7 linked regions of the Coturnix japonica genome follow. The protein of the gene in region 4 purifies or fractionates together with the protein of the main gene of each other region. This does not show direct contact. Links are inferred from orthologs where the notes say so. Each region holds a gene or a part of one and is shown on either strand. Other genes may lie near its edges.

Region 1 (4,074 bases), on a different chromosome or scaffold from region 4:
AGGAAATGGCCACAAGTTGTATCAGATGAGGTTTAGACTGGACATAAGAAGGAACTTTTTCTCTCAGAGAGTGGTCAGGTGCTGGAATGGCTGCCCAGGGAGGTGATGGAGTCGTCATCACTGATAGTGTTCAAGAGGTGTCTGGACAGGGAGTTAGGAGATATGGTTTAGGGGTTTCCTGTATGTATGGTAATGGGAGGACGGTTGGACTAGATGATCTTGTAGGTCCTTTCCAACCTTGTGATTCTAGGATTCTATGAATTAGGTTAGTGCTTGTTAAGCTTGTGTCTATACCTCAGGGAGGACTTCAGGAGAAGCTTCTTTCCTTAGTTCTGTTCTATCTGCTCATGTTCTGCCTAATTCTTCATCCTTGCACCTGCATCTCCAGTGCCTCCCAGCACCTGTCCTGCTCCAGCCTGTGATTAACATGTCAGCTAAAGCCATGTCTTACACATAACCTGCTCTCTTGCAATCTTGAACCTCTGTGGGATGTCTTTGCTGTTGTCCTCAAGGTTTTGGTGATGGGGATACAGAAGGATGAGGGCAGACATGACTAGGGTTATAGACAACCACATAATATCGCGACCATCCCTACTCTGGGAGCTAAGGAACTCCTCTCGCCCCTCAGCGGAGTCTCGCGAGATTCCGCCCCTCAAAAGGGCAGTTCTCGCGAGCTTTCCATCTAGTTGCGGGCGGCGGCTCCATGCGGTCGGAGCGGGAGGTTGTGCTGGTAGCGGTGAGGGGCGGCGGCCGCGACAAGTGGCCCATGGAGGTGCCTCTGCGACGGGAGCCGGACACCGCATTCAACCCACCGCCGTCCCCGGCGCCACCGCTTCCCCCGGCGCCGGTTAAACAGCGAGATGAGAAAAAAACGGCGCTGAGCAAAGTGAGGGGTGTTGGGGCTGTGGGGGCGCGTAACCGCCTCGCTCGTGGCGGGCTGCGGCTGCAGGTGCTGTGGTACCGCGGCCCCCTGAGGGCAGCCCTGCCTTCCCCGTTACCGCGGATGTTGAGTTTAAAGGAAATTGCTGTTGGGGAGCGGTGGGAGCGGACCGTCCCGATGGCTGTGTGGCCATTTTGGTGCTCTGCGCGATGCTGTTGAGTCCCGTTGCGTTTAGGGCGAGCGAGCCCACCTTGCTATAGGGAAACGCACCTGTGTGTGTGGTGTGCTGGGCTTCGGGTACCGCCCAGCGTCAGTCCTTGTCGGGACACCGAGGCTAAGGCTGCAGCCGCAGCTCCCAGATGAAGGAAGAGCTTTTAGAAGGGACTTAGGCGATTTATTTGGTCTTTTTCGTGCTATTTAGATGGAGGATAATTCTCTTTTGTCTATGCAGGTGGTTATTCGACGGCTTCCTCCTTGTCTAACCAAGGAGCAGCTGGAGGAGCAGCTACATCCTCTCCCTGCTCATGATTATTTTGAGTTTTGCACTGCTGATCCCAGGTGAGGATGAGGTGTCCGTGTAGGTTTTCAGGTGCTTAAAGGCTAAGTAAGGAAGTTTGGACCCTAAGTTACTTATTTTGCCCACGGAGCCTGTTTTGTAAGTTACGTAAAATGTTTGGATATATACATGTGCGGTGATAATACATCCCTGCCTCTTCCTTGTATACTCGTGGTTTTAAAACATATATATTTTTTGGTGCAATTAGAGCATAGTTTTGTTTGAAAACGTCATCCTGCTTTTAACTTTAATTGGTAAAAATTATTAGGCTGTTAATTGCCTATGAAAACCATGACATAAAGACAACCGAGGGCAAATATCATCTAAATTCTCATGAACGCCATTCGATTATTAATTTGCTTATGTATTCTTGTCTTTATTTCATACCTTTTTTTTTTTTTCCAAGTAATCCACTCTTATTCATTTTTGTCTCATTCAAAATGTAAAAACGAAGCAGTGGTTGACTGACAATAAGGTAATTTCTGATATACTTACTTAACATGCACATCACAGCGCCAAAATGCCATTCCCTTTTGAACAGAGCGATTTCTAGACAAACTTAACCATGGAAGTAATCATAGCATCCAATGTGCTACATGTCCTTGTGCTCAGAATAATTAAAGGATGTGATTCATCTTGCCCAGCTTAGCCTGCTGCTGTGTGTGGTGAATCATCCTCCACATAGATATATGTATATACATAGATATATGTTTTCTCAGAGTCAGTTCCGCAAAGAGAGAGGAACCAGTATCTGTTTAGTAGAACTTTGTGGCAGTTCATTGCTTGCCTGACTTAGGCTGTTAGGCATATACACAGCATCAATACCATGAAGGATGTGAAGGTAGGTAAGGGTAGGATTTAGTCTGCCCTGGAAGACAGAACAAACATTTGTGGTCCTACCTCCATGCTTTTGTAAGACGTGTACATATATCAACTCCTTTTTTACTGTTTTCGTGATAAAGGTTACTTGTAATTTGATAATGTTCTTATTATATGCAAACTGTAAAACTTTTAACAACTTCATATAACTCAAATGTCATTATTGTGTAAACGCTGTTACATCCATTTCAGTAAAATCATTTCACAAAGTTTGACTGTTGTGTTGTATTTCATTCATTTCTTCTGATACATTTGATTCACTGCATTCAGTTCAGTTTTCTCTCTTGTACATTGGGATCAAAATACAAGCAAAAACTCTGTGTTTCTGACTGATTCTGTGGCCTTTAGGGGTGTTTGATAAGTATGCTGTATCCTATAGCTAACAATGAAGAGGCTGCCTACTGGATCTGTCTTGTTCTTAGGTGCCAAAAAAGAGCTACATCTATGGCGCAGTGGTAGGAATGCCGCTTGCAACACCAGAGGCCCGGGTTCGAATCCTCCCTGTGGCTCAAGTGGTAGAAGTGCCGCTCTGCTACACAAGAGGCTCGAATCCTGGGGGTTGGACTCGATGATCTCTAAGGTCCCTTCCAACCCGCACGAGCTTGTGAGACTGTGAGATTGTATCTGAGCCTTCTAAAACATTGGTGCAGTGGTTGAGTTATGGTCCTGCAGCACTCGGGTCATCCCTCAGGATTGGTACTGACTGCAGAACTCACTGAAAATGTGATATATACTATTGTTGGATAAAAAGCTTGAAGGGGTCTGAAACACACAGATGAGGCTTTTATACATTAAGCACTGATGTCCCACTTGTGTTTGAGGACCAGCTCTGTTTGTAGAAGCAGCTCCATCAGAGGAGGGATGTGGAATTTCTAGGCATCGTCACAGCTATGCTTTCATGACCTACCCTGATATCTGGCAGCAGTAATGGAGAGAGAATCTCCATTGTTGTGTGCCTCCAGTGGCGCAGTGGTAGGAATACTGCTTTGCAACACCAGAGGCCCGGGTTTGAATCCCCCTGTGGCGCAAGTGGTAGAAGTGCCGCTCTGCTACACAGGAGGCCCGAATCCCAGGGGGACTCGATCTCTAAGGTCCCTTCAACCCGCATGAGACTGTGAGAATCCAATTTGATTTTGCTACTGTGCATACCAGTATCAGACTGTGGACAAACATGCTGTAGTAGTTATGTATGTTTCTGCTGACATGAAGTTCTTGAAGACTTAAAATGTGTTTCAAAGACGTTGGATCCCCTATTTTGAAGACAGATTCTAAATCCCTGCTTTCCAGGGATTGTGTCTGGAGAACATTTACATGTTCCAGACACTTTTTTTTTCTTACTAACGTGTTTCTTTGTTTGAAAGATACTCTGATATCAAAGTCTAAGCAAAAAACATTAGAAAAATATTATGTTGGAAAATACTGTGCTTCTGTTCCAGATGGGAAATAGATGGTGTTGGTGTGCAAGATGAAGGAAATAACAGGAAAGTGTATTTGCATTTCTTTTTCATGAGTGTTATGTGTCCAACTGTGAGTGATAAGTTACTGCAGAAGAAGTAAATCAAGTTACTGCAGAAGAAGTAAATCTATGGCCAAGCAGTTCTGTGCACTGAGCTGGAGAAGTAGCTTTTTTCAGTTAGTTTTGTGGAAACTGAAGATTGATAAAGCACTGCAATAGTTGTTAAATTGGGGACTTAAACTCAGGACTTCTCAGTCTTTGATAGCAATGATGGCAGAGGACTGGAGCACCTTCCGTATGAGA
Region 2 (4,225 bases), on a different chromosome or scaffold from region 4:
TTTTTTTAATTATTTTTTTTATTTAGTGTCTTAAAGACTTTTCTTCATGATCCTCTTGTGGAGTGGAGTAAGCCTGTTAAAGGGAATACAAAAGCACAGGTGAACGAAACTGGAGAAGTTGTCAATGAAAAGGTTGGTTGAAAACAAATACAGCATAAAGCATTCAAATGTTACTTGTCCATTGCTGGTACAATTTGTGTATTTTCTAATAGGAAGCTTAATTTTCCTTTTATTCATTTTCCTTCATTTAAAAATTACTGTATTTTTTCTAATTAGTCTGTATCCCTTTTTAAGGTTAAATATTCTTTTTATTGGTGGAGAATATAATTTATGTACTAAAGAACCAAGCAAAGCAAAATTCATAACTTTGTCATTAGTATTACTAAACCATCAATAACATCAACAGAAAACAGAGGGTGGGCAAGGCTCTTGCCTTTCCATATTCTAAGACATGCATGTGCTCCTGAATTAAGTGCTGGTAATACCTGAAAAGCATTCCACATGTGCATGCATTTATTTACAAGCAGTTCTATGAAATAAAACATCCTAACATTTCCCAGTACTTTTGTGTAGCTTTTCCAGTCTGTTCTGTTAAATTTCATCTGTAAAATTTAAGGCAAAAAGCTGTAACTCAACGGGTAGTCTATTCATTTTAAGTGATAAATAAACCTTTCACTGGTGCAGCCATTTGGGTCTTGTATTAAGTTAACGTGCTGATTGCAGATATCACAATGAAGACTTTCTAAGATGTCTATGAACAGTAGCAATATTCATTTTTTCTTCCTTTCTCTTTGTTTCTAGGCCAAAACCCACGTCCTTGATATAGAACAACGCCTACAGGGTGTTATTAAGACTAGAAACAGAATAAAAGGATTACCCTTATCTATTGAAGGGCACGTTCATTACCTCATTCAAGAAGCAAGTGACGACAATCTGCTCTGCCAGATGTATATGGGCTGGGCTCCATATATGTAACACTTGTTTGCTTCAGAGAGGTGCCATTCACAACTGGTGAAGCAAGCTGTGATATTCTTAAGAAGGTATCAATGAGTGTTAACTGGTTACTTGTGTTTTCTGTTTGTAAGCACTGATACTGGCTTCTGACCAATCTGGTCTATGTAGAATATGCACTTGGAAATATGAATGCGTTTACGTGTTCTTTACATATACAGGGCAGCACATTAAAAGTTAAATAGAATGTACAAGGCTTTGCAAGTTTCTTAGGTACAAACCTACTCTGGGTCAATTCTTGGTGTTGAAAGGATGTATGGTAACTTCAAAAACACTGTATAATTTTGTAAAGGTTTTCTCATTCAGTTTGGCTGTAGAATAAAAAAGTTGACATTAAATTTCATACTGACACAGTTGAGAATTGGTTGTTTAAACTTTATTCTGCATTGCCTCGTACCTGAAAAGAAGGGCCCGATGTTGGTGTGTTCTAAGGGCTGTGCTGCTCTGTTACCGTTAGCGATACGCGGCGCTGCTCGGCAGGGGGCGCTGCAGTGTGTACCCGCCGCTCTGCCCGCCGCTCTATGGCGCGTGCTGCTGTCAGCGCGGTGCGCCGGAAGGAGGGCGGAGCGGAACGGAGCGGAACGGGGCTGGGGTTGTTTGGGTCCGACGGGGCGGCGGGGAGCGGCGGCCATGGGGGTCCCTAAGTTCTACCGGTGGATCTCGGAGCGGTACCCCTGCCTCAGCCAGGTGCTGAAGGAGCATCAGGTAAGACCAAAGCGGGGCTTCGGGGCCCGCCGCCTCTCCTTCCCGCTGCGGAGGGGCCCTGTGGGGTGAGGGCCGGAGCCGGCTGGTCTGCAGCCTGACGGCGGGGGAAGGAGGGAGGGAGGCACGCGAAAGCCCCTGAAGGTCGGGGTGCTCGCTGCCCCAGCACTGGGGGTCCCGGAGCCCCCGGCCGCAGGCAGTGCTGCTGTACCCGCCGTCGTCCCGCTGTATTGATACCCACACCCCGCTTGTGCCTTTTGTTCCCGGCCTCGCCGGCTGCGGGTTCGCTCCGTGCCGCGCTCGGTAACTCCGTTATCGGCAGCGCCGAGAGTCGGGCGGGCAGACCCTGCTGAGAGAAACCGCCGTCGGTAACAGCTGGTCTCAGTCCGTTTCTTGTTGTTGGTTTCCGCCGGTGTTACCGACGTGGTTTTATAGCTAAATAAAGACGTTCTGAGGGGAGGCGGTACGTTGTAGTGTGTGAACGTTGCTTCTAGACACGTAGTGTTTCAGGTGACCCAGTAGCTGTTGTATTAAGGCACCTTCGGCTCTCGAGCGGTCCCTTGGCCCTCCCATGAAGCTGCAGCATCTCCCTGGGCTCCCCGGCTGCTGTCCTGGCGGGCTGAGCGCTGCGTGTCGCCCCGCGGAAGAGAAACAGAAAGCGCTGCTCGGGGCGGCCGTGTCACAGTCACGGTCCATCTGAAGTGTCTGTGCTGTTACTTCCTTGTGTGCGGAGTATCTGCCGCTTATGGAGGAGGGGAAGTGTCTGTACTGCTGTTTATGACCCAGAACAGTAAAATGTATCCGTATTCTTCCTTTTCTTTCACGGCAGCAGAAGGCAGCCTCTCTGGCTGATAACTGCTTACTCAGCTTTTCCAGGGCTTGGAAAATTTACTTTCAGCTTTTTCCTGCTGTGGCCAAGATGCATCAGGTGGCATTTTTTGCCAGCATGCATCTGATGTCCCATTTATTACGAATTATAAACAGAGCATTGACTAAACTGTGCTATCATCATGTCTGCGCAACAAAGAATTTGTTATTTCAACAGGAACCCTGAAATATCCAAGTCTGATGCCCCTTGAGTTGATTTTGTACTCAGTGCCGTGCTGTCTGGTACTGAAGCACCGGGAAACATTATTGAAGTATTTAGACCATCTGCTTTATCACTTAATCTGGCAAGCATTTCTGTCCTGAAGCGTTGACCTTTGGTCCGTGTTCTAGGATTTGGAGAGGTTTCTTCTGTGCAGTCTGACGCCTTTTGATTGGGTTCAGAAGAATTCTGGATAGTTGGGGGACAGAATCAGGAGTGGATTGCAATTAATGCTTGAGTTTTTAATGCTGAAATGTTTATTTCTGCTGATTGGATTTTGTATCAGCTTCACGAGCTTGTTAATGACTGAACTGGTCCTTCCCCTTTTGACAAAATAAGAACAAAATAAAATCTGTGATAGCTGTGGAAATTCCATCACAACAGAAAGAAAATTGCTAAGTTCTAACAGCGGTTTGCTTGGTGCTTTGTGTGGCCCTTCAAAAGCAATCTGAAATGTAAGGTGGTGTTCACTTTGCTTTGTAAACATAGTAGAAGAGTTGTGTCTCCTCTTGAGTAAAAGATGGTTTGTGTGTGACTTGCTGTCAGTCACATACCTTACTCAGGCTCCTTGCAGCCTGGATAGACTGGTTAGGCTGGCACAGTGATCCCTGCTGCTCCTCTATGTGCAGTGCCCCACTGCTTGTTTTCTGAGTGTTTTCTTCGGCAGTGTTGTCTGAGGGGGATGGAGGAAAACTTTCTGATCTGGGTTGGGGTTTATTTTTGTTTCCTCTTCTTTTGCCCACTGTAGACCACTTATCTAGGCGACATCATTCCTTCTGTATGCTATTAAAGACAAAGCTGCTCATAATAATAATAAAAGGCAATTGTCATGTAAAATATGTTTTTTAAAATCATATCGTAACTATGCTGCTTAGGTAGTTTATTTTTCATATATATATACTGCATTGGTGCACAGTACATTACAGGGAAATCTTCCACCTCAATTCATTTCCAGACTCAGCCATACCTTGCATAGTGATTGCAATGCTTCATCCGTCTCCCATTGAGTACTAACTGTGGCTTTTTTAGATTCCAGAATTTGACAACTTATACTTGGACATGAATGGCATTATACACCAGTGTTCACATCCAAACGATGATGATGTTCACTTCAGAATATCCGAAGATAAGATTTTTGCTGACATTTTTCACTACTTAGAAGTACTGTTTCGCATTATTAAGCCAAGGAAGGTTTTCTTCATGGCAGTTGATGGTGTAGCCCCAAGAGCAAAAATGAATCAGCAACGTGGCAGACGGTTTAGGTGAGAATATTTGCTCCTGCTCTGTCTTTAGAATAATAATTATTTCTTGCAAATACATACTTAAAAATATGTTATGACAAATAAAATATATTGTAAGCAGGCAATGCCTTTGACAGTGGCTTTAATTTTTAGGTAAATGAAGGTAGCTGCCACTAAGATGTTA
Region 3 (4,009 bases), on a different chromosome or scaffold from region 4:
GGATCATATCTGTAAGATTTCACTTTGTAAGATGAAAAGGCTCAGAAAGCAAGTGAGCCTACACTGCTCCCAGCCGCTGTCAGTGCATTTCACTGGAGGAGGGACTGGCACTTCCCCTGTTGCCAACAGAGACTGGTGTTTGGTGATGGAAAAGCAGAGCCAAGTGCCACAGTGCTCCCCAATACACCCTGCAACCAGGGGAAGTGGACACAGAAGAGAAGGCTCCAGGGAGACCTCACTGCAGCCTTCCAGTAGTGGAAGGGAGCTTATAAGCAGGAAGAAGACAGACATTTTACATGGGCATTCTGTTTCTTGTTTTGAGACTCAAACAGACCCAGCTCCTATCTCTTCCACAACACTGAGATAAGCCCAGGATTGCAATATTATCACCATTAATAATATTGTTTTCTATGGCACGATGTAAACAACCACTTTGTTAATAAAAGCAAGGGATAAACAGATAATCCTAATTCTTTCCCCAATGTTTGCTTTCTCATCTCTTCCAGCTACTACTACAGTGAATTTACCCTTTGTTGCTCTTCATCACTGCATACACTGATGGTATCACAATAAATGCAGTTTCCATGCTATTCCAAATCTAAATGCATTAAATTTGCAGGATGGTCCCATGGCTCAACTGAAGTGTGAACATGGAAGCACACAGTCTCCCAGCTCTTACCAAACACCCGGCCTGGAGTGCCAGCAACAACGTGCTGCCCATAATCCAGCTTTCGGATATCTTCACCCACGTTGGTCCCCCCGATGCAGGCGTGACACTGGACATTCATGTAGTCTCCCAGAGCAAGAAGACCCTATTTGGACATAAATAATGAATCAACTGAGCTCTTATGGCAGGCTTTCAAAGGCTGGGGATTTGGTTTATATCCCAGGAATCACAACTACTTTTAAAGAGTACTGTACTTAGAAATCCAGGTAGGAATACGTAAAACATTAAGACTGCTAACTAACCCATCCTGTAAGGACCAATGGATATAACACAGAAGGGAGAAACAGCCCTTCATTGGGATTTCTTATTCCATTCAGGACAACGCATTCCTTTGAAAAGCAAAAGTTGCACTTCTAGCTCTGCTGGGGAACACTTGGAGAATCTGCATCAGTCTTTATAAGTACCGTACAGGCAGTAATTCACATGTTCCTACCTTCTGAATCTGCACAGCCAGCTCTCGAGTTGGTGCTAAGATCAGTGCCTGGGTCTCGCGAACCTGTTGATCACACGGCAGTTCATCACATAGCAAGTACAGTGCAAGCAGAAACAAACAGAATAGAGCCCACAGTACCCTGAATTGTCACATCTGAATGATCAATGGTACAATTTTGCATCGGCACACCCAGAAAGCTGCTCCCGCATGGAGTGCTTACACATTTATAGCCCCTTACATTATGTTATAAGACTGTGCCTGACCACACAATGCATGCCAGAGAAATAGATTCAGCCCTCCAATGAAAGCAAACATAGAATCACAGAATTGTAGGGGTTGGAAGGGACCTCTAGAGATCATCAAGTCCAACCTCCCTGCCAAAGCAGGCTCCCTACACCACATCACAGAGGTTGGTGTCCAGGTGGGTCTTAAATATCTCCAGAGAAGGAGACTCCACCACCCCCCTTGGCAGCCTGTTCCAGTGCTCCGTCACCCTCACTGTAAAGAAGTTCTTCCACACATTCGTGCGGAACTTCCTATGCTGTACTTTCATCCCATTACCCCTAGTCTTATCCCCATGCACTACTGAAAAGAGACCAGCCTCACCACTATGGCTCCCACACCTCAGGTATTTATAAACCTGGATCAAGTCCCCTCTCAGCCTTCTTTTCTCAAGGCTAAACAGACCCAGTTCCCTAAGTCTCTCCTCACAGGGGAGATGCTCCAGGCCCTTCACCATCTTTGTGGCCCTCCGTTGGACTCTTTCCAAGAGATCCCTGTCTTTTTTGTACTGGGGAGCCCAGAACTGGACACAATATTCCAGATGAGGCCTCACCAGGGCAGAGTAGAGGGGAAGGATCACCTCCTTTGACCTGCTGGACGGGACCTTTAAGACCACCTCATTCCAACCCCTGCTATAGGCAGGACACCTCCCTCCAGACCAGGCTGCTCACAGCCCCATCCAGCCTGGCCTTGAATGACTCCAGGGAGGGGCATCCACAGCCTCTGGGCAACCTGTGCCGGTGTTTCACCACCCTCACATAAAGACAACCGCCATGTTCCAAGTATGGCCTACCTGTATGTCCAGGCACTGCAGCACACAGATGGAGAACGTGGCCGTTTTCCCTGTTCCCGACTGTGACCTGAGAACAGAGGTGTAGTGAACTCTCTGCCGTTCCGGAGGTAGCACCCACCCCTCCCCCGCATCCCTCCCCCCCGGCCCACGTACTGCGCGATCACGTCTCGTCCCTTGATGATCTGCTTGATGGCTCTCTGCTGGATGGCCGACGGCTTCTCGAACCCTGCAGGACATGGCTGTTACAGCGCAACGCCGCCATTTTCCTCCCCCCCTTCCCCCACACCGCCTCGGCCTTCCCGCCGCGCACCGTAGGCGTAGATGCCGCGCAGCAGGTCCTCCCTCAGCCCCATCGTGTCGAACGTGGGCGTCACGTCCACCTCCTCGCTCGTCTCGAACTCCACCTTGGTCATGTCTTCCTCCTTCATGATCCGTTTCCTCGCCGAGCCGGTGGTGCCGCCGGAGCCCGCGGACCCCGACATGGCTCAGTCAGGCCTGGTCGCCCTAACCGCGAGCTACTACAATGGCGGCGCCGCCGCACACAGGGCGCTGCGCATGAGCGGGATCCGGCGGAAGAGGTGGGAGAGAGGAAGGGGCGGGGACGGGAGCGAGCGGGGCTTGGAGCTGGGGTCAGGGCTTGGGGCTGGTGTGTGTGTGAGGGGTGGGAGAACTGATCGTGGGCAGGTTGCAATGGGAGGGTGGGCTTTGGCCACCACAGGGCTGGGGTGGGTGTTAACTAGGTCCTGGAACAGGCTGCCCAGGGAGGTTGTGGATGCCCCGTCCTTGGAGGTGTTCAAGGCCAGGTTGGACGGGGCCCTGGGCAACCTGATCTAGTAAAGGTGTATGTTTGGTGGCCCTGCCAGGCAGGGGGGTTGGAACTACATGATCCTTGAGGTCCCTTCCAACCCGGGTCATTCTGTGATTCTGTGATTCTGTAACTAAGGCTCTTGTTGAGATGGGAAGCTGCCTCTTGAGAGCAGTCAGGTGGCGTAACATTAGAGGTGTTGACAGAAAGGAAGAGTGGTTTCACTCAGTGCTTCTGTTTCAGAGACCGAAGGAGCCCGGCAGAGCTGCCTGCAGCCCTGGACAGCACAGCCATGGTGTCACAGAGTGGGCTGCAGCGTGCAGACATCACCTCCTATACGTACAAACTGCAGTGCCTCAAGTAAGGGTGCTGCTCCTCGTGAGGGGCAGAGCCTCCATTGGGCTGCAGGAGGTGTCTCTGAGCTGAACGCACCCTTGCTCTGCCTGCAGAAGCCAGGTGAGGCGAATCTCCAGAGAGAGGGACACGGCCAGACTGGACTTGGAGAAAGCAGAGAGACGCTGCCTGCAGCTCAGGAGGGAGTTGGACGAGCAGTACATCGCCCTTAACCATAGCCAGGGCAAGCTCAAGTAGGAAGGGTTCTTTTGGTTGAACAGGGAAAATGGGTCCCCACTGTCTCTTCCTCCTTATCCCAGTCCCCCTTTCTGAATATCTCACTTATTTGGACGTTGTGTGAGTGGCATACAAGCCCCTGAAGATCCCTTGTGTGCACTTCACTTGCGCTTCCTGTATCCCTCCAAACAAGTTCTGCTCTTCTGCTTTTTGTGGGGTGAGCATGGATGCCTGGACCTCACAGTAATCTGAGAATGTGTTTCAACTGCTCTCAGACATGTTGCTTGTCTGTTCCAGGGATGCTCAGACTGAAATGGAGGTGAAAGAGCTGCTTTTGCAGCAAGCCATCAGCCATCAAGTGAAGCTGGAGGCTGATGCACGGTTCCTCCAGGGCAAAGA
Region 4 (3,500 bases):
GGTATCTGAAATGTGGGAAATACCTTCCAAAGTTCTTCCAGTTTGTTAATCTGCTGAGCTGTAATCTGACGTGCTCTCAGCTGTTCCTGCTCAGATGGAATCTTTACCAGCCACGAAAGGAAACAGCGATCTTGGATAAGAGGCTGCCACTGTGAACTGTCCCAATTAATATCCTTTAAACTGCTCTGACTTGCACATGGCTGCCTGCACAACCAAAATATTGGAAAAAGTTATTACTTTGAAACAGCTGTAAGGGAATCTACCAAAGTATAAGAACATGTTTAATGTATTCTTCAAACATATTAAGCATCTTGGTTAAAAGAAGAGAGCCAACACTAGTAGCCTGCTGAGCCAATTCATCAGTTCCTTCATTTGGTATTTCAACACTGCAGAGGCAAGGTATCCTGATCAGAATTTCTTCTGTATTATTAGGACTGAAAAAACTCAGCATCTAAGATACTAAACATGACGTAGGGATAAAAAGGAGAGTATAAAACACTGAGGTACAAAGTGAAAGCTGATGGCTGTCATGTAGAAATCCAGTTGTGCAATACTTAACACAAACACTGTAATAAAGGCATTCTCTCACCTGCACAGCAAAACAACCACAGAGTCTGCCTTAGCTGGAATAAAGCCAAGGAGAAACACATTACGACATCCGCAGTTGTAACATTCCAGGACAGTCTCTCCTAGAGGTCCATCTTTATGGAGAGTCACCTCTTTGCACTTTGCTCTCACAAGATGATTAACAATGTGGCTGAAACCAGAGAGGATGTGTATTTATAAGCAGTCAATATGAAAACCAGATTTAGTTCTAACTTTATGTAACATAGCAACTCAGTCATTATTAAGAGATAAACAAAAACCTATTCATACTTTGGCAGACGTTAGTAATTCCCTGCTCTTTTCATCCAGGCCAAGATGACTGCTGACAGTTTCAGTGTTTTTCCAGTGCATAAATACTTTGAAGTGAATGTGAAAGAAGGGGCAATGTGTAAGAAATTGTTATTTGGAAGCAGCTTCCTGACGCTCCAGAGATCACAGCATGAGTTACGCTGCTCTGCAAGAGCACAGGGGGAAGAAGCAGTGAGCTCACGTCACAAAAGTAATTCAGGTTCCACTGAGATGAAGCTGTAAGCTCATAACAGGAAAAGGTAGAGGTTGGAGGTTCACATTCAAGTCACGAGACTTCAATCATGGTGGAAAATATAAGTCACACCCATTATGCCATTTCAAAACAAACACTAAAGCAAGTTTGCCCATCTAATTTCCATCATTTAATCATTTACCTGCCAGATGTATTTCCACGCCCATTACAGAACCACTTTTTGCTGGTGTTGCAGTAAACCACACAGGCAGGGTCATGGATACCACAGTAACTGGAAATGAAACGAGATGAGGAAGTGGTTGGGAAATTGTTAATAGGAAAATGCAAATACAAGATTTAGAAGTGCACAAAATAAGGCGAAGTGAAAATTAGGAATCATGAGAGTTGTTGGAAGCACCTAACACATGAGTTAAACATCTGGTCTGAGGCAAGCTCTTTAACTATTTCTATCATTACCATTTCTAGGATGGCTCAACTTTGTAGTCCTTAGAAGAAAGGCCCAAGAGCTCAGCAATGCAGCACGGTCAGAGCACGCAGGAGCTCAGCAGGGGGCACTCCCAGCCTAGCAGCAGGCGGTTGCCAGCTCTTAATATTCCAGCCATGCACATTGCACTCAGTGCCCCCACCTTCAGGAAACGATCAGCTCTCACCTGCAAGCATGCACGGGAAGATCCTTTGTATAGTAAGTATCTTCTTCATCTTCTTCAAAATTCAGCTCTGCCAGAAGCTGGCTGGTTTTAGCTACATTATCATCCACTGCTCCATTCTGCAGAATGCCATCAGGTCCATTAACCTGCAGTACAAGGTCAGTGCTTAGGTTATACTATCAAAATATGTTCAGAACAAATGGTAATCCCTACTTTGTTATGTAAAAACTTATCTTTAACTCAGGAAAAAGCTCAGAAGAACATAAAACCGATAAGAGTTTGAAATACACACCACATATAACAAAAATAATCACTTATACATTGTATATATAATCAATGCTTGCTTCATTAGTTCCTATTTGACAGGAATCATGAAGCGTCAGTTCACAAATAGGAAAAATGAATGACAAAAGTCAATTTTTCTCTGAGGATTATCTTCTTCTCTATCCACCAAACCAATCCTCCTCCTCAGAGACTCCAGAAGCGAAGACAACAGGGAGCAGGGGACCAAGACCAGTTCCAATGCATATCTAACTAAAATAGAGCAAGAAAGAACAGAAGCTGGCTCTCAGCACACTGCCCAGCTCTCTAAGCAGCATCACTTGCTCTGTGTGTATCACCTGTATGACATGCAACCAAATAATCCAGGTGTGACAATCCCTACTGTGTTACTCAGAAATTGTTTTAGCCACCATAAAAAACAAAGACGTCTCATTAAGTTACCCAGGAAACACACAAACTCCATTCAAACTAACACAGCCCGAGTTCTCAGAGCAATGCCTTTCTACATGGCTAACACAGCACACAGAACAGGTGTTCCCTCTTTGCACTGAGGACACAACCTGCCAGCACCACAAAGCTCTGCGTCAGCACGTTTGACACATCAAGTCTTACTCACGTTAAAAATAACTCCATTTTGGCAATACTCAGCGCAGTGCTTTTACCAGCAGGAAGGAGCACCAACAGGTGTGAATGGCACAAAGCAGACTTTAGCTTGACTAAAGCAGCCATTGTCCCTTGGGACTCCTGAGCTTCCAGTTCCATTCTGCCATAGTAACCACATCTCTGCAGACTGACAGTCATTGGGGGTGGAAGGGAACTGCAGCAGCTCAACACTGAATAGCATCTTCTTGGCTGTTTCTGTGTGTGTTTCTTAGCACACACAAACCTCTCATCCTACAGCAGAGCATTCAGGCCTGCAGTGATGACAACACGATGGCACCCATCTGTCAGCAGCGGGACCCAGCAGCTGTGCTGCGCCTCAGCAGGCACACAGGAAGGAAGTGGCCCAACTATTGTTCTAAACTCGATGCCATGTTAGTTTGTGTGTGTGTTATTAAAATCAGGCAGCACCAGCTGTTGTGTAAGATTTGGGGGGGGGGGGGCTTCTCTATTTTAAATGTGTTGACTCAAACTTCTGGCACAGCAAGTTTAGCAGCCACACCAAACAACTTGCACGGCTCTGAGAGCTGCTGGTCCCTCCCTGGCTCCTCGTTGGCCTCCAAAGTCCTGCTCAGGAGACAGCAGCAGTGCTCAGGGGAACCGAGCTGCACTACAGCACAGCAGCTGACCCAATTAACACAGCAGCTTGCAGTGACCGCGCTGAGCCCCAGCCGGGTGACAGCAGCTTCCTTGCTGTGCTGCTGGCTGACGTACCCACCCACACACCAACCCATCAACAGGCAACACAGCCATCAGCACAGCTGTACTTTAAAGCTGTCAGGCTGCAGCAAAAGAAACGATGA
Region 5 (3,094 bases), on a different chromosome or scaffold from region 4:
TCCTGGGTTGAATGGTTATAATGTGCCTTTCAAGCAGTCTACAGCACTGTCATAATTTTTTCATCTGTATGATAAGTCTGTGTGGAAAGCATTAATTTATCTTCCCCATGTCTGAATAGATGCCATCGTATACCAGGAGTTCATCCCAGAACTCCAAATAAATTTAAGAAGTACAGCCGTAGGTCGTGGGACCAACAAATAAAGCTGTGGAAAGTTGCGTTGCATTCCTGGGATCCACCGACCGAAGAAGGATGTGATCTGCAAGAAATGTACGTGTGGAATATTCTAAATAAATAGATATATTTAAGATATATATAATAGATACATTAAAACAGCGTGGCCATTTATGAGACAAGTCCATGGTTAGTGCTCTTGAGTGTTACTCAGTTCTTTCTCAGTGATATGAAATAGCTTTCAGTATGTACTTGGTAGGAATGGCATTGCAGCCTTTGCTTCTAAAATGAATCTCCAGTGGATGAAATCAGAGTCGATACCACAGTGCTCTTTAAAGGGAAAAATCATGCCAGTAAGACAGGCTGGTTTTTGCAGAGCAATCTGGATTAGAAGCAGTACTGTGGAGTTCTGATTGACTGGCAGTTCTCTGAGCTCAGACCAATACAGTGTGCTGGGACATGCCTTACAACCTTCTCGCTTACTGGTTCAAGAACAGTGGTATATTCTTGTTTCTTGAGTGGAGTAGAGAAATACTTGTAAAATCAACTCTAGGTACTGTTGAAGTTTAACTGTTATTCACAAGTGCACCCATGGATTCCTACTGAAAGTTATGATTTGCTCTAAGATGTGTATGCTTTCTAATTGTTTCGCAGTAGTCCTGTTGACCTCGGTGAGATGGAGACAGAATCCATAGGAAGCAATTCTACAGAATCTCAAACGAGCTGTCAAGATAATTATGTAAGAAAACCTCTTATTTGCATAAATATTTGCTAATAATCTGTCCAGTCATTAGAATTACAACCTGAATAACCTGTGGGGCGGTCTCTTCTCACTAGTGACAAGTGACAGGATGAGGGGAAATGGCCTCAAGTTGCACCAGGGCAAGTTTAGGTTGGATATTAGGAAGAATTTCTTTACAGAAAGGGTAGTTAAGTACTGGAATAGGCTCCCCAGGGAGGTTGGTTGAATTTGCCATCCCTTGGTTGTGTTTAAGAGCCATTTGGATGTGGTGCTCAGGGATATGATTTAGCAGAGGGTTGTTAGAGTTAGGGTACTGGTTAGGCTGCGGTTGGACTTGATGATCTTCAAGGTCTTTTCCAACCTGGGTAATTCTATGATTCTATGATTCTGAATGGCCTGAACACATGAGAGATTCCATAATCTGCTATATTCAGGGACTGAACAATAGAAAGTGCATGAATGGACAGAAGCTTTCATTTGAATGTTGTCAGTCTTAAGACCAGCCTTAGGTTTTTGTATGGCCTTTAAAGAAGAGTTTGTAAGCCTCTGTTACAAAGTGGCCTAAATGAACTGCAGAAGAAGATAATGTGAATTATTGCATCAATAAACCTGCATTTAACTCCTGTTTTTTAACTGACTTTGTATTCCAGGATACCTGTTCTGGCACTCCCACCAAAGTTAGACACATTGACTATCAAGCAGAAGGCGAATTTGACTTGGAAGCATGTTTGAGCGAGCCTCTTAAAGATTTAAATACTGTGAGTTAAATAGTTCTGTGCAAATCATTTTAGAGCAAGTTTGTTTGAAATCTGAGGCATTAGATTGATTCATCAGTTGAGCGTTTTCCACCTGTCAATAGCAAGAAATCTTAAGCAAAGTTAAAAAGTGAAGCTGTGGTTGGTCTACCTGTTGTCTGGACCAAACTTATGTCTGAATTCAACAGTGTGGCTTCTTTTTACCTTTTAATTTATGTATATCAGATATTTTTTTAATATTTTTTTTAACAAAACTTTATAAAATAACAGCTGAAGGCAATGCAACCCTCAAGGAATTACAGACAATGGGGCAAGATCTTGCCATTTTATTTTCCCTTTGTTATCCTTAATTCCAGTGTTTCACCAGCAGATCCAGAGCAGAGCAGGGAAAGGTTTTTCATCATACATATGTCATTTTGCTTCTCCTTCTGTCCCTACTGCAAAGATCTGCCTGGATGTAATGCAGGTGATAGCAGAAGCATGTTGCTGATCAGCACATTTGTCTGTTGCAGTTACTTCAGTTTTGGCTGCCTTAGTTTATAAAAGCAAAGAAACAACAACAAAAAAAAAACCACCCAACAAACCACAGATTGTTTTCATTTACAAAAATGTTTTTGAAACAACTGGGAAGAAAGTACTTAATATGAAGCGTCAATATGGAAAGACGTAGGTAGCAGTAATGTTACTTTAAAAATACTATAACCTGCATTTGGAACTTGTAAATAGTGGTGAGTTACTTGTTAATACAGACAAGAGCAAAAAATGTCTGGGGAAAATAACCGATTCTTTTTAATTTGCTGGTTTTTAAATGTAAAACTTGTAAATGATAACACTGTACAGACTTTCTGCTGAATGCAGTTGATGTTTCTACTGCTTTTGTATGGGATGTTGCTGGAAAATAAATGGATATGGATTTCTTTATGACTCCCAAGCTTCTTTTCCCACTACGGGTGTTCTGTGGATGACACAAAGGAAACACTGAAGGTCACGTATCTGTGCTGTGGGGTTAAGGTGGTCTTAAGGTCAAGCCACGCTTGTCCATGTCTGTATGGAATCATTCGGTGCTGCTCCTTAAGGCTTCTGTGTTCTAGCTGAAAGGTAAAGGCCTCAAAACCTGACTGCCTGGGTATCATTGTGACTGTTCTCTGTGGCAGATCTTTTAACTTGGATGGTAGGTCTGAAAATTGCATGTGAAGCTGCATGGGAGCGCGATTACGAATCATGACTACTTACTGGGAGATATTCTGCTTTTGTTTTTCTTATTTAATAGTGAATGCATGTGATTGGCATCAGCCCATCAAGGCTTCATGTGGTTCTGCCTCTGTGCCACTTAACAACTGGTGGCAGTTGCTTATGCTGCTTGTACACCTGCCATAATAAGCAGAGATACCCAAACCATCTAGTTTGGTGTTGTCTTGCTGTGT
Region 6 (4,187 bases), on a different chromosome or scaffold from region 4:
CCCAAAGGCTTCCCTCCCCTTAAGGACAGACAACATCTTTCCATTCCACGTGCATTTATTGTCACTATAGTCACCGTGCCACCTCAGGCCCCCCCACACTCTGTGGAGCCCAAGGACACGGTTACAGCCACACTGCACTGCAGAGCACCGGGGACTCCCGATAGCAGCCGACAGCTCCGTAGCTTGGGGTCCACATCCATCACACACGGCACCTGTGGGGAAAGTATCACAGAGATTCCTGGGTGGGAACTTTGGAGCAGGGCTGCCCGCGGAGCCGGGCAGGTGGGTGTTCCTGGTATCAGGGCATTGCTGGGATCTGGGCGTTGCTGGGATCAGGGCATTGCTGGGATCAGGGCATTGCTGGGATCAGGGCATTGCTGGGATCTGGGCATTGCTGGGATCAGGGCATTGCTGGAATCAGGGCATTGCTGGAATCAGGGCATTCCTGGTACCAGCCCGTTCCTGGAGCGGAGCATCCCGGTACTCACCGCGGTGCGGAGCGGAGCAGCGGCACCTCTGCTGTCGGAGCGGCGGCTGTAGGGCAGGCGGCGGAGACCGGAGAGCAGCCCCGAGGCTCTGCCCACCGGGTAGGAGAGCGGAGCGGCCGCCTGCCGGTACCAGGGCGCGGCGGGGCGGCACAGCAGCATCACGGCTACAGCCAGAGTCAGGCAGCGGGCGGCTCGCATCGTGCCGGCGGGGGCGCAGCGCTGCGGAACGGCCGCTCCGGGTCTTTATGGCCGCGGCCGCCCCCGCCGCGCAGCACGAGGGAAAGCGCCGCTCCCCGCCCACGGAACCGGGACCGGAGCGGCGGGAGGAGGCGGGGAGGATCATTCCTTGAACTTCCACTCCTGGCGGCACATGGGGCAGTGCTGCTGGACCTGCTGCGAGTGCAGCCACTTGAGGATGCAGTGCATGTGGAAACAGTGCGAGCACTGCCCCCACACCAGCGGGCAGTCGTCCCCGGGCACTTTGCCTGCGGCGTGGACACAAAGTCAGGAAGGGCCGGGTCGCACCGGACCGGGTACCATACCGGGTACAGTACCGGGTACGGGACCGGGTACCGGACCGGGTACGGGACCGGGTACCATACCGAGTACCATACCGGGTACCGGACCGGGTACCATACCGGGTACCATACCGAGTACCATACCCGGTACCGGACCGGGTACCGTGCCGGGCCCCGCCGCACTCACAGTCGGGGCAGCAGCCGTTGAAGGCCATGCGGCAGATCCCGCAGTTCTCGTCGTTCGCCACCCACAGCCACGAGGCGACTCCGCTCCAGCTCCGCACCTTCACCCTCATCGCCGCCGGAAGTGCCGCTCTCCGGTCCGCGCCGCCCCGCCGGAAGTACCGCCCGCCGCCCCCACGAGGCCCCGCCAATCTGAACGCGCGCCTCCGCCCGCCGGTCCCGCCTCTTCCGCTTCCGGCGTCGGCGCAGCGCGGCCGGAAGCGCAGGCCCCGGAGCGGAGCCGCCATCATGGCCGACAAGATGGACATGTCCCTGGACGATATCATTAAGCTCAACCGAAGCCAACGCGGCGGCGGTCGGGGCGGCGGCCGGGGAGGCCGGGGCCGAGGCGGCGTCACCCGCGGGGGCGGGCCCGGTCGGGGCGGCGTGGGAGCCGGGCGAGCGGGCGGCGGCCCCGTGAGGAACAGGCCGGTGATGGCCCGGGGCGGCGGCAGGAATCGGCCCGCGCCGTACAGCCGGGTACGGGACGGGGGCGGGGGCGGAGCCCGGTCGGCGGGGCCCGGAGGGAGGGGGCCGGTGTGCGGGGCGGGGGGCGGCGGTTCGTGGACGGGGCGGGGGCGGTGGGACGGGCGGCCCTTTGTCCGTTGCCGGCGGTCGAGCCGTCCCGGCGGGACCCGGCGGCGCTCAGCGAAACGTCCGTGTCGTTCCAGCCGAAGCAGCTCCCCGAGAAGTGGCAGCACGATCTGTTCGACAGCGGCTTCGGGGCCGGCGCCGGGGTGGAGACCGGCGGGAAGCTGCTCGTCTCCAACTTGGACTTCGGCGTCTCAGATGCGGATATCCAGGTACGGGCTCGGCGCTGTTCCCGGGGGGTTTCATTCATTCCATCGGTGCTGGGTGCTGGGGGTGGCCATAGAGCATTGCTGGCCCTGCTCCCATTGGAAGGGCCCTTCACACGGTGCCTGGCCCTTTGCTTCACGCACTGCTGGGGCTCTGAGCTGAGCAGTTGGAGTGGCTGGATTCAGAAGAGTCCCAGTCTTTATGGAGCTGTAGGTAATCACATATGAAATATCTCTACCACGATGCTGTGGGGGGGATGTTGCCTTCGCTCAGTCCTGCTGTGATTGCAGAGCTTAGCACAGGCTGTGTGAGCTTTTAAGGTCTGTGTAATTCCAGACGTTCAGTAGCTCTATATATACATCTATTGGCGCTGTTTTCATAGTACCTGTTTATGTACTTTTTGTTAAAGTTTTGTTCAGTCTCAAGGTGTTCTTATAGAAGCACCAGTGATATTGAGAAGTCTGGTCTGTGAGGGGGTACCTGCTCGCTCATGTTGTCATTTCCACAATTACCACATGTATCTTATGACAGATAAATGTTCTAGCTGAGTTACCAGCTGCAGCTCAATCCCTTGTTCCAGCTGTGCCCTGGGTGCAGGCTGTTTGCAGTCACTGTGCCTGTGACACAGCAGTCACAGCTGTGGGGCTGCTCTTACTTGTGGGCAACAAGTTGTGCAGAAACATCTGCAGATCCAAGGAGCATCCAATCTGAAGGGTTTTCCTGACTTAGTCACATTGCAAAGAGCTTTGGATGGTTTCTGGTCCTTGCATCTCCTCTAGAAAAAAATAACTAAATCACTTCTATGTTTTCTTCTGTTAATTCATTCCGGTTCAACCTGTCTGCATCAGGAGTATTGGAAGTGAGCTTTTTTAGGTCACCTAGTTATTGAGCGATGCACTTAAAACCACTGTTTTTTCCTCAAGTGAGTTTAGTTTCAGTTGATATACATTTCCTGTTTGCTGTAATCAGGCCCAAACGTGTAAAAGTGAATCTGTAAAGTTATCTCAATGTAAGGAATTAATGTGTTTTGTGTGGCAGTTGAATGTTTCCTTTTCACAGTTGGCTTGAACTGCAGGAGCAGACAAACATCTGTGTATATTATATGTAGCAGCAAAGCTGACTTAATGGGTTTGTACCTCTTTGTTACTGCCCATCCCGTAATTTTCCACTAAGCTGCACTGATTGTTTTCTTTGTTTCTGTGCTGATTGTGTCATTAATATGGTTCTGCTCAGCTCAGTGCTGAGGAATGAGGGGCTTGGTGGGAGCCTCGTTCACGTTGCTCTTGTAGGAGTATGTGTGGTGCTGTGGCTCCAGCTTCTCTGCAGGACAGGGATGTGATGGAGCACCTCTCCTCCCATGTGGTGCTGTCTTCCAGAAAGCTTGTTGGGTGCTGTATGTTCATGTTTAGTAAATGGACACAGTAGAGAAACTCACTGACAGGCTTGCATAAAGTGCAGCTGGCTTAAGAAGTGAAAATATTTATATGCTCCTTTCAAATGCTTGGATAGGAATTATAGAGATGGCTGGAATAGTGTTTGGGCTCTGCTGCAGGTGATATGGAAGGCAGCCTGTGGTGTCTGCTTTGGACACCTGACAATTCTGTGTGCTTCAAACATTTGAAGAGTGGGGTGTAGGTATAAACTTGCAAAGTAGTGAGATGTCCCCAGATGTACATCTTAGATGTAGCCTCTGTGAAACAAAATGGGTGGCTCCACTGTTGCAGCCTTCCATCGCTCGTGATGGTAAACGATGCTCTTCAGTAGAAGATTTCCTGCTTTCAGTTTATACAGACTGGCAATGTCCCTGGGAAGAGGAGCAGGTCAGCATACCTTGGGGCCACTTTGTTGGCTGTATACAAGCACCCTTCAAGTGGTGGATATGAAATCCTGTTTGTTTCTGCCACCTGTGGCTGCTTTCTGGAAGTCTTTAGTGGCCTGTGTTCCTTCTTTCACTGGTGCTATTTGCGTGGTGTCATGGAATGTACATGATATTGCTGAAAGCAGGAGCTGCCTGCACCTTCTCTGGGCTGCTCGGTGTTTGCAGAGCTGACTGAAGCATATTCACTTCTCCCTCTGTTTCTCAGGAACTCTTTGCGGAATTTGGGACCTTGAAGAAGGCAGCAGTGCACTACGACAGATCCGGACGCAGTCTAGGAACAGC
Region 7 (3,500 bases), on a different chromosome or scaffold from region 4:
CCTGTGCTACTATGTGGAATGGATAACACAGGGCTTTGATCTCCATTTTTGAAGAGGAAAATAAGTTCTGTGCCAGTCTACAGTAAAGCTCTGAGGAAAATTATAAGCTTACAGAATTGCTTATGACTTTCTCTTCTGCAGTCTTCAGGCTACTATAAACTGAAAGGGAAAAAAATAAGAAATGAGGAAAATAATTTTGCTTTCATCTGTGTCCTGTGACTAATGTCATGCTCCAAAAATATGCATCTTTAACGTAGAGAATTGAATCTGTAACTCAGACATCTGTAACTGTCTCATTTTGAGTGGGATCTGGTGAAGTACCAGAAGTTATGATAAAGTAATACTGACTGGTTGTATTTCTAAAGGAATGTGGTTTTGCTGAGGGGAGCAGTGTAATTGATATTATTCCCTCTCTTATTTCAATGCTAGGAACTTGGATTTTTCCAAAGGCCACCAGGCAATTACAGGAGACAAAGAAGGGCAACAGCGTCGGATACGGCAACAGCGACTGATCTTCACAGGCAAATGGATTGCTGATAACCAGCCCAGGTAATCACAAATAGCTTTAGGTAGCAAATAGTGATTTTTCAGTTGCTACTGTAAGCTTAGGCAGTACAAGTGACAGAGGTGAACTTGTTTTTCTCATTATTTTAAAGAGCAATTTTATATAAGGTGTACACATTTCACTGATGCTGAAAGACTGGCAGCACTAATAACGTGCTGTGAATTAGTATGCTGTTACATGAGCTAGTTCTGATAGGAATGTATTTGTAGTGAAACATCATATTTGATAAGGCCTTCATAGTGATACTGAAGCAAAGCTGAGATGAGAGGAACAGCAGTAGCAAGAGTGCTAATGTGTGAGATTACTACATGAAAACCTGTTTGGATTTGCTTTTCAATTCCTCTGTCTTTTTCAGGCTGATTCAGTGTGAAAATGAGGTGGGAAAGCTGTTGTTCTTGACTGAAATCCCAGAATTAATACTAGAAGACCCTAGTGAAGCCAAAGAGAGCCTCGCCTTGCAGGAAACATCTATTGCAGAGCCGCTGTCCACAGATGGGAGCCCTGGACTCAAATCAGTTCTGTCATCTGGCAGAAGTTTAAACAACTGTGACTCAGGAGAAAAACCAATGGTCACGTTTAAAGAAAATATTAAGCCACGGGAAATGAACAGAGAGCAAGGGCGAATCTATCCTCCTAAGGATGTGGGTAGGGAAAGACGGGACTATAGCAAAGGAATAGTAGCCAATAAGAATGATGGAAAGAAGGATAACAACAAAAGAAAGACCGAAACAAAGAAATGCGGTGTGGATAAGATACAGGAAGCAGGAAAGCAGAATGTGGCAGTTCAGGTAAGCCTTGAGATCAAAGGGACACTGTATCTTAGGCAGTATGATATTTGAGTGAGGGCCATCACTGCTTGCACAGAATACTGTAGAACTGAGGTCTCTATGGATCCTGCAGATACCTGTATTGCGCAAAGAACCTCAGAGACCAGTCATTAATTATCTTTGGATTTCTGCCCCTTTCCTTAATGCTGTCTCAATTTTGGGGGGAGGAAAAGTTGAGGAGTGGTGAAAAGTAAAATTTTGTGTGTTCATGTTTTTAAAGAGCAAGGACTTGTAGCTGTTGTTCCACATATTGGTCAGGTTAACAGAGCAGCTTGCATGACCAGGTCCTAGTCACACTCTTTCCCAGCTGTGTTTTACTGTGAAGGAGCTGGGTGGTACTTTGCATTTTCAGTTCAGTTGCTTGCACATTCAATAAATTGACTGCATCACTGTACTACATGTGAAGTCAGATAGACCTCCTTGAAAGTAAAGAAAGCCACACAGCTTTTAGACTGCAATTAGACTGCTCACATCCTTGTTCAGAATTGTTGGTTATCACATCAGCGGTTCTTTTCTACTTGTGTTTTTCGAAGGTGTGGGTTTTTTCCTGCACTTACATGAGCATTGTGTACAAAAAATGGTCACCTTTTAAGCAGAACTTACTGTTCTGGCTTCCGTTGGGGTGTAGTGATAATTTCAGGGTTTATCTAGTCTGTACCTGGAGAGTTTTGTCTGTATCTCAGCCGTTTCCAGGTATTGTCTGGAGGAGTTTAATGACAGTGATGGGGAGATGCTGTTATTTCTCTAGAGAAACTGTGTGAGTTCTTCACCATTCTTACAAGGAAAATCTTTTTCCTTATGCACTTATCTCCCTTGCCACTGCGTAAGCCAACTACTTCTACTCTCTGATAGCCTTATTTGCAAGATCTTGTTTTCCCTAGTCTAGACAAACCAGTTCTTTGAGCCTTTATAGCTTGCATTGGTAGGACCCTCGAATCATTTTTATTATCCTCCTGATTATTTCTTGTTAGGCATTGTCATTATGAGCTGGAAGGTCTGCACTGGCAGCATTTGTTATTTTTTGGCAAGGCCTTTGCTGGTGTGAAGGAGAGTAGCTTGCAGAAACCATGTGGCAGTTGCTTGTGAGTCACTGAACAAGAGACTGGTACCTGAAAAACAGCCTAGGTAGGTGAGTTAGAATAACAGGAATTTATTGAACATGTCTGGAATGTGGTTGCAGGCCTGAGCATAAATCCCAGGCTCAGTGTTTGTGCCGCAGTCTTGAAAAAGGAGGACTTGAAAAAACATGATGTTCTGATAAGTCTGTGTGGTTTTTTGCATACGGAAGATGCTGTCATTTTGACTTAGTTGATCCATCAAATATTTAATGGTTTGTTTTGGTTTTTTTTTTTTAGTTTTTTTTTTTTTTTAAAGGTTTTTTTTTAGTTTTAAGACTTATAAAACCACCAAAACACGTTTCAAATCCAACTGTAGCATACTGTGTTCTGATCTGTCTGGTTAGTGTTCATCTCTTGTTTCCTAGTTATTAACCTTGACTTTTTAGCCTGATCAGCTCTATTTACATTAACAATTACAGAATTTTTTTTATTTAATACAACTGGGAGGACTTATTTACCCATATCTACTGCAGAACATGGGGAGGGTTTTCTCCTTCCCCTGCTGAAAAAAAGCCAGTGTAGGTTCTGTACCAGTCAGAGGTCTACTTGCTTTCTCTTTCCTTGAAACTTTAAGCTTTATCTACTTCGTAGTCGATTCAAAAGCCTCAAAGCTACAGTCATTGCAGATCCTACCTTGCAAAAATGTTAAGAATGCTGTAGGGAAGTAATTAATCCTGTTTCGTGGATTAGTGGGGAAATTGCATGCACAGGATCATGAAAATGTGGCACAGGTTGATTTTCCTCAGTAGAGGTGATGATGCTAGATGCAAAGAAAGATATAATGCAGAACTTACTCAAGGTATTGTATTTTTGAAAGGCCACTGGGAGGAAATGGTGCCTCACCCAAACACTAGGTGGGAAGCCTCAAGACCAGTAGGGATGTAAAGGTTTGGTAGTATTGCTGCTTCTGAGGTGAGATCAAGTTGAAGCAAGGGAAGCAATTGAAATATGTCTTTCTTGATTAAACAAATTCAGTAAGTTAGCTTTCAG

Evidence for each region.
Region 1: the proteins of UPF1 (region 4) and UPF3A purify together in Homo sapiens (affinity purification with western blotting; 5 studies listed by BioGRID and IntAct, with this or other methods). This does not show direct contact. The link is inferred for Coturnix japonica from reciprocal best matches to the Homo sapiens genes UPF1 and UPF3A.
Region 2: the proteins of UPF1 (region 4) and XRN1 purify together in Homo sapiens (affinity purification with western blotting; 4 studies listed by BioGRID and IntAct, with this or other methods). This does not show direct contact. The link is inferred for Coturnix japonica from reciprocal best matches to the Homo sapiens genes UPF1 and XRN1.
Region 3: the proteins of UPF1 (region 4) and EIF4A3 purify together in Homo sapiens (co-immunoprecipitation; 8 studies listed by BioGRID and IntAct, with this or other methods). This does not show direct contact. The link is inferred for Coturnix japonica from reciprocal best matches to the Homo sapiens genes UPF1 and EIF4A3.
Region 5: the proteins of UPF1 (region 4) and histone RNA hairpin-binding protein purify together in Homo sapiens (affinity purification with western blotting; 4 studies listed by BioGRID and IntAct, with this or other methods). This does not show direct contact. The link is inferred for Coturnix japonica from reciprocal best matches to the Homo sapiens genes UPF1 and SLBP.
Region 6: the proteins of UPF1 (region 4) and ALYREF purify together in Homo sapiens (co-immunoprecipitation; 3 studies listed by BioGRID and IntAct, with this or other methods). This does not show direct contact. The link is inferred for Coturnix japonica from reciprocal best matches to the Homo sapiens genes UPF1 and ALYREF.
Region 7: the proteins of UPF1 (region 4) and SMG7 purify together in Homo sapiens (affinity purification with western blotting; 7 studies listed by BioGRID and IntAct, with this or other methods). This does not show direct contact. The link is inferred for Coturnix japonica from reciprocal best matches to the Homo sapiens genes UPF1 and SMG7.

What each region holds. Positions count from the first base shown.
Region 1 is NC_029516.1:123,396,221-123,400,294, reverse strand, and holds the start of UPF3A (regulator of nonsense transcripts 3A), read left to right. Parts: upstream 1-1,274; 5' UTR 1,275-1,301; coding exon 1,302-1,438; intron 1,439-4,074. UniProt on the Homo sapiens protein: Involved in nonsense-mediated decay (NMD) of mRNAs containing premature stop codons by associating with the nuclear exon junction complex (EJC) and serving as link between the EJC core and NMD machinery.
Region 2 is NC_029524.1:8,847,450-8,851,674, reverse strand, and holds the start of XRN1 (5'-3' exoribonuclease 1), read left to right. Parts: upstream 1-1,425; coding exon 1,426-1,716; intron 1,717-3,829; coding exon 3,830-4,062; intron 4,063-4,225. Other genes in the region: serine/threonine-protein kinase ATR, read left to right, coding at 27-132, 802-975. UniProt on the Homo sapiens protein: Major 5'-3' exoribonuclease involved in mRNA decay. Required for the 5'-3'-processing of the G4 tetraplex-containing DNA and RNA substrates. The kinetic of hydrolysis is faster for G4 RNA tetraplex than for G4 DNA tetraplex and monomeric RNA tetraplex.
Region 3 is NC_029518.1:14,287,432-14,291,440, reverse strand, and holds the start of EIF4A3 (eukaryotic initiation factor 4A-III), read right to left. Parts: upstream 2,801-4,009; 5' UTR 2,718-2,800; coding exon 2,546-2,717; intron 2,462-2,545; coding exon 2,389-2,461; intron 2,303-2,388; coding exon 2,236-2,302; intron 1,224-2,235; coding exon 1,161-1,223; intron 813-1,160; coding exon 680-812; intron 10-679; coding exon 1-9. Other genes in the region: NINL (ninein-like protein), read left to right, coding at 3,333-3,400, 3,490-3,627, 3,908-4,009. UniProt on the Homo sapiens protein: ATP-dependent RNA helicase. Involved in pre-mRNA splicing as component of the spliceosome. Core component of the splicing-dependent multiprotein exon junction complex (EJC) deposited at splice junctions on mRNAs.
Region 4 is NC_029543.1:2,808,894-2,812,393, forward strand, and holds part of UPF1 (regulator of nonsense transcripts 1), read right to left. Parts: exon of another isoform or gene 3,127-3,500; intron 1,902-3,126; coding exon 1,759-1,901; intron 1,380-1,758; coding exon 1,290-1,379; intron 758-1,289; coding exon 590-757; intron 205-589; coding exon 24-204; intron 1-23. UniProt on the Homo sapiens protein: RNA-dependent helicase required for nonsense-mediated decay (NMD) of aberrant mRNAs containing premature stop codons and modulates the expression level of normal mRNAs.
Region 5 is NC_029519.1:76,098,016-76,101,109, forward strand, and holds the end of histone RNA hairpin-binding protein, read left to right. Parts: intron 1-119; coding exon 120-269; intron 270-827; coding exon 828-912; intron 913-1,565; coding exon 1,566-1,682; 3' UTR 1,683-2,594; downstream 2,595-3,094. UniProt on the Homo sapiens protein: RNA-binding protein involved in the histone pre-mRNA processing.
Region 6 is NC_029533.1:4,445,422-4,449,608, forward strand, and holds the start of ALYREF (THO complex subunit 4), read left to right. Parts: upstream 1-1,387; 5' UTR 1,388-1,477; coding exon 1,478-1,708; intron 1,709-1,899; coding exon 1,900-2,031; intron 2,032-4,110; coding exon 4,111-4,187. Other genes in the region: NPB (neuropeptide B), read right to left, coding at 84-212, 489-686; ANAPC11 (anaphase-promoting complex subunit 11), read right to left, coding at 828-973, 1,194-1,302. UniProt on the Homo sapiens protein: Functions as an mRNA export adapter; component of the transcription/export (TREX) complex which is thought to couple mRNA transcription, processing and nuclear export, and specifically associates with spliced mRNA and not with unspliced pre-mRNA.
Region 7 is NC_029523.1:4,337,830-4,341,329, reverse strand, and holds part of SMG7 (protein SMG7), read left to right. Parts: intron 1-429; coding exon 430-549; intron 550-920; coding exon 921-1,353; intron 1,354-3,500. UniProt on the Homo sapiens protein: Plays a role in nonsense-mediated mRNA decay. Recruits UPF1 to cytoplasmic mRNA decay bodies.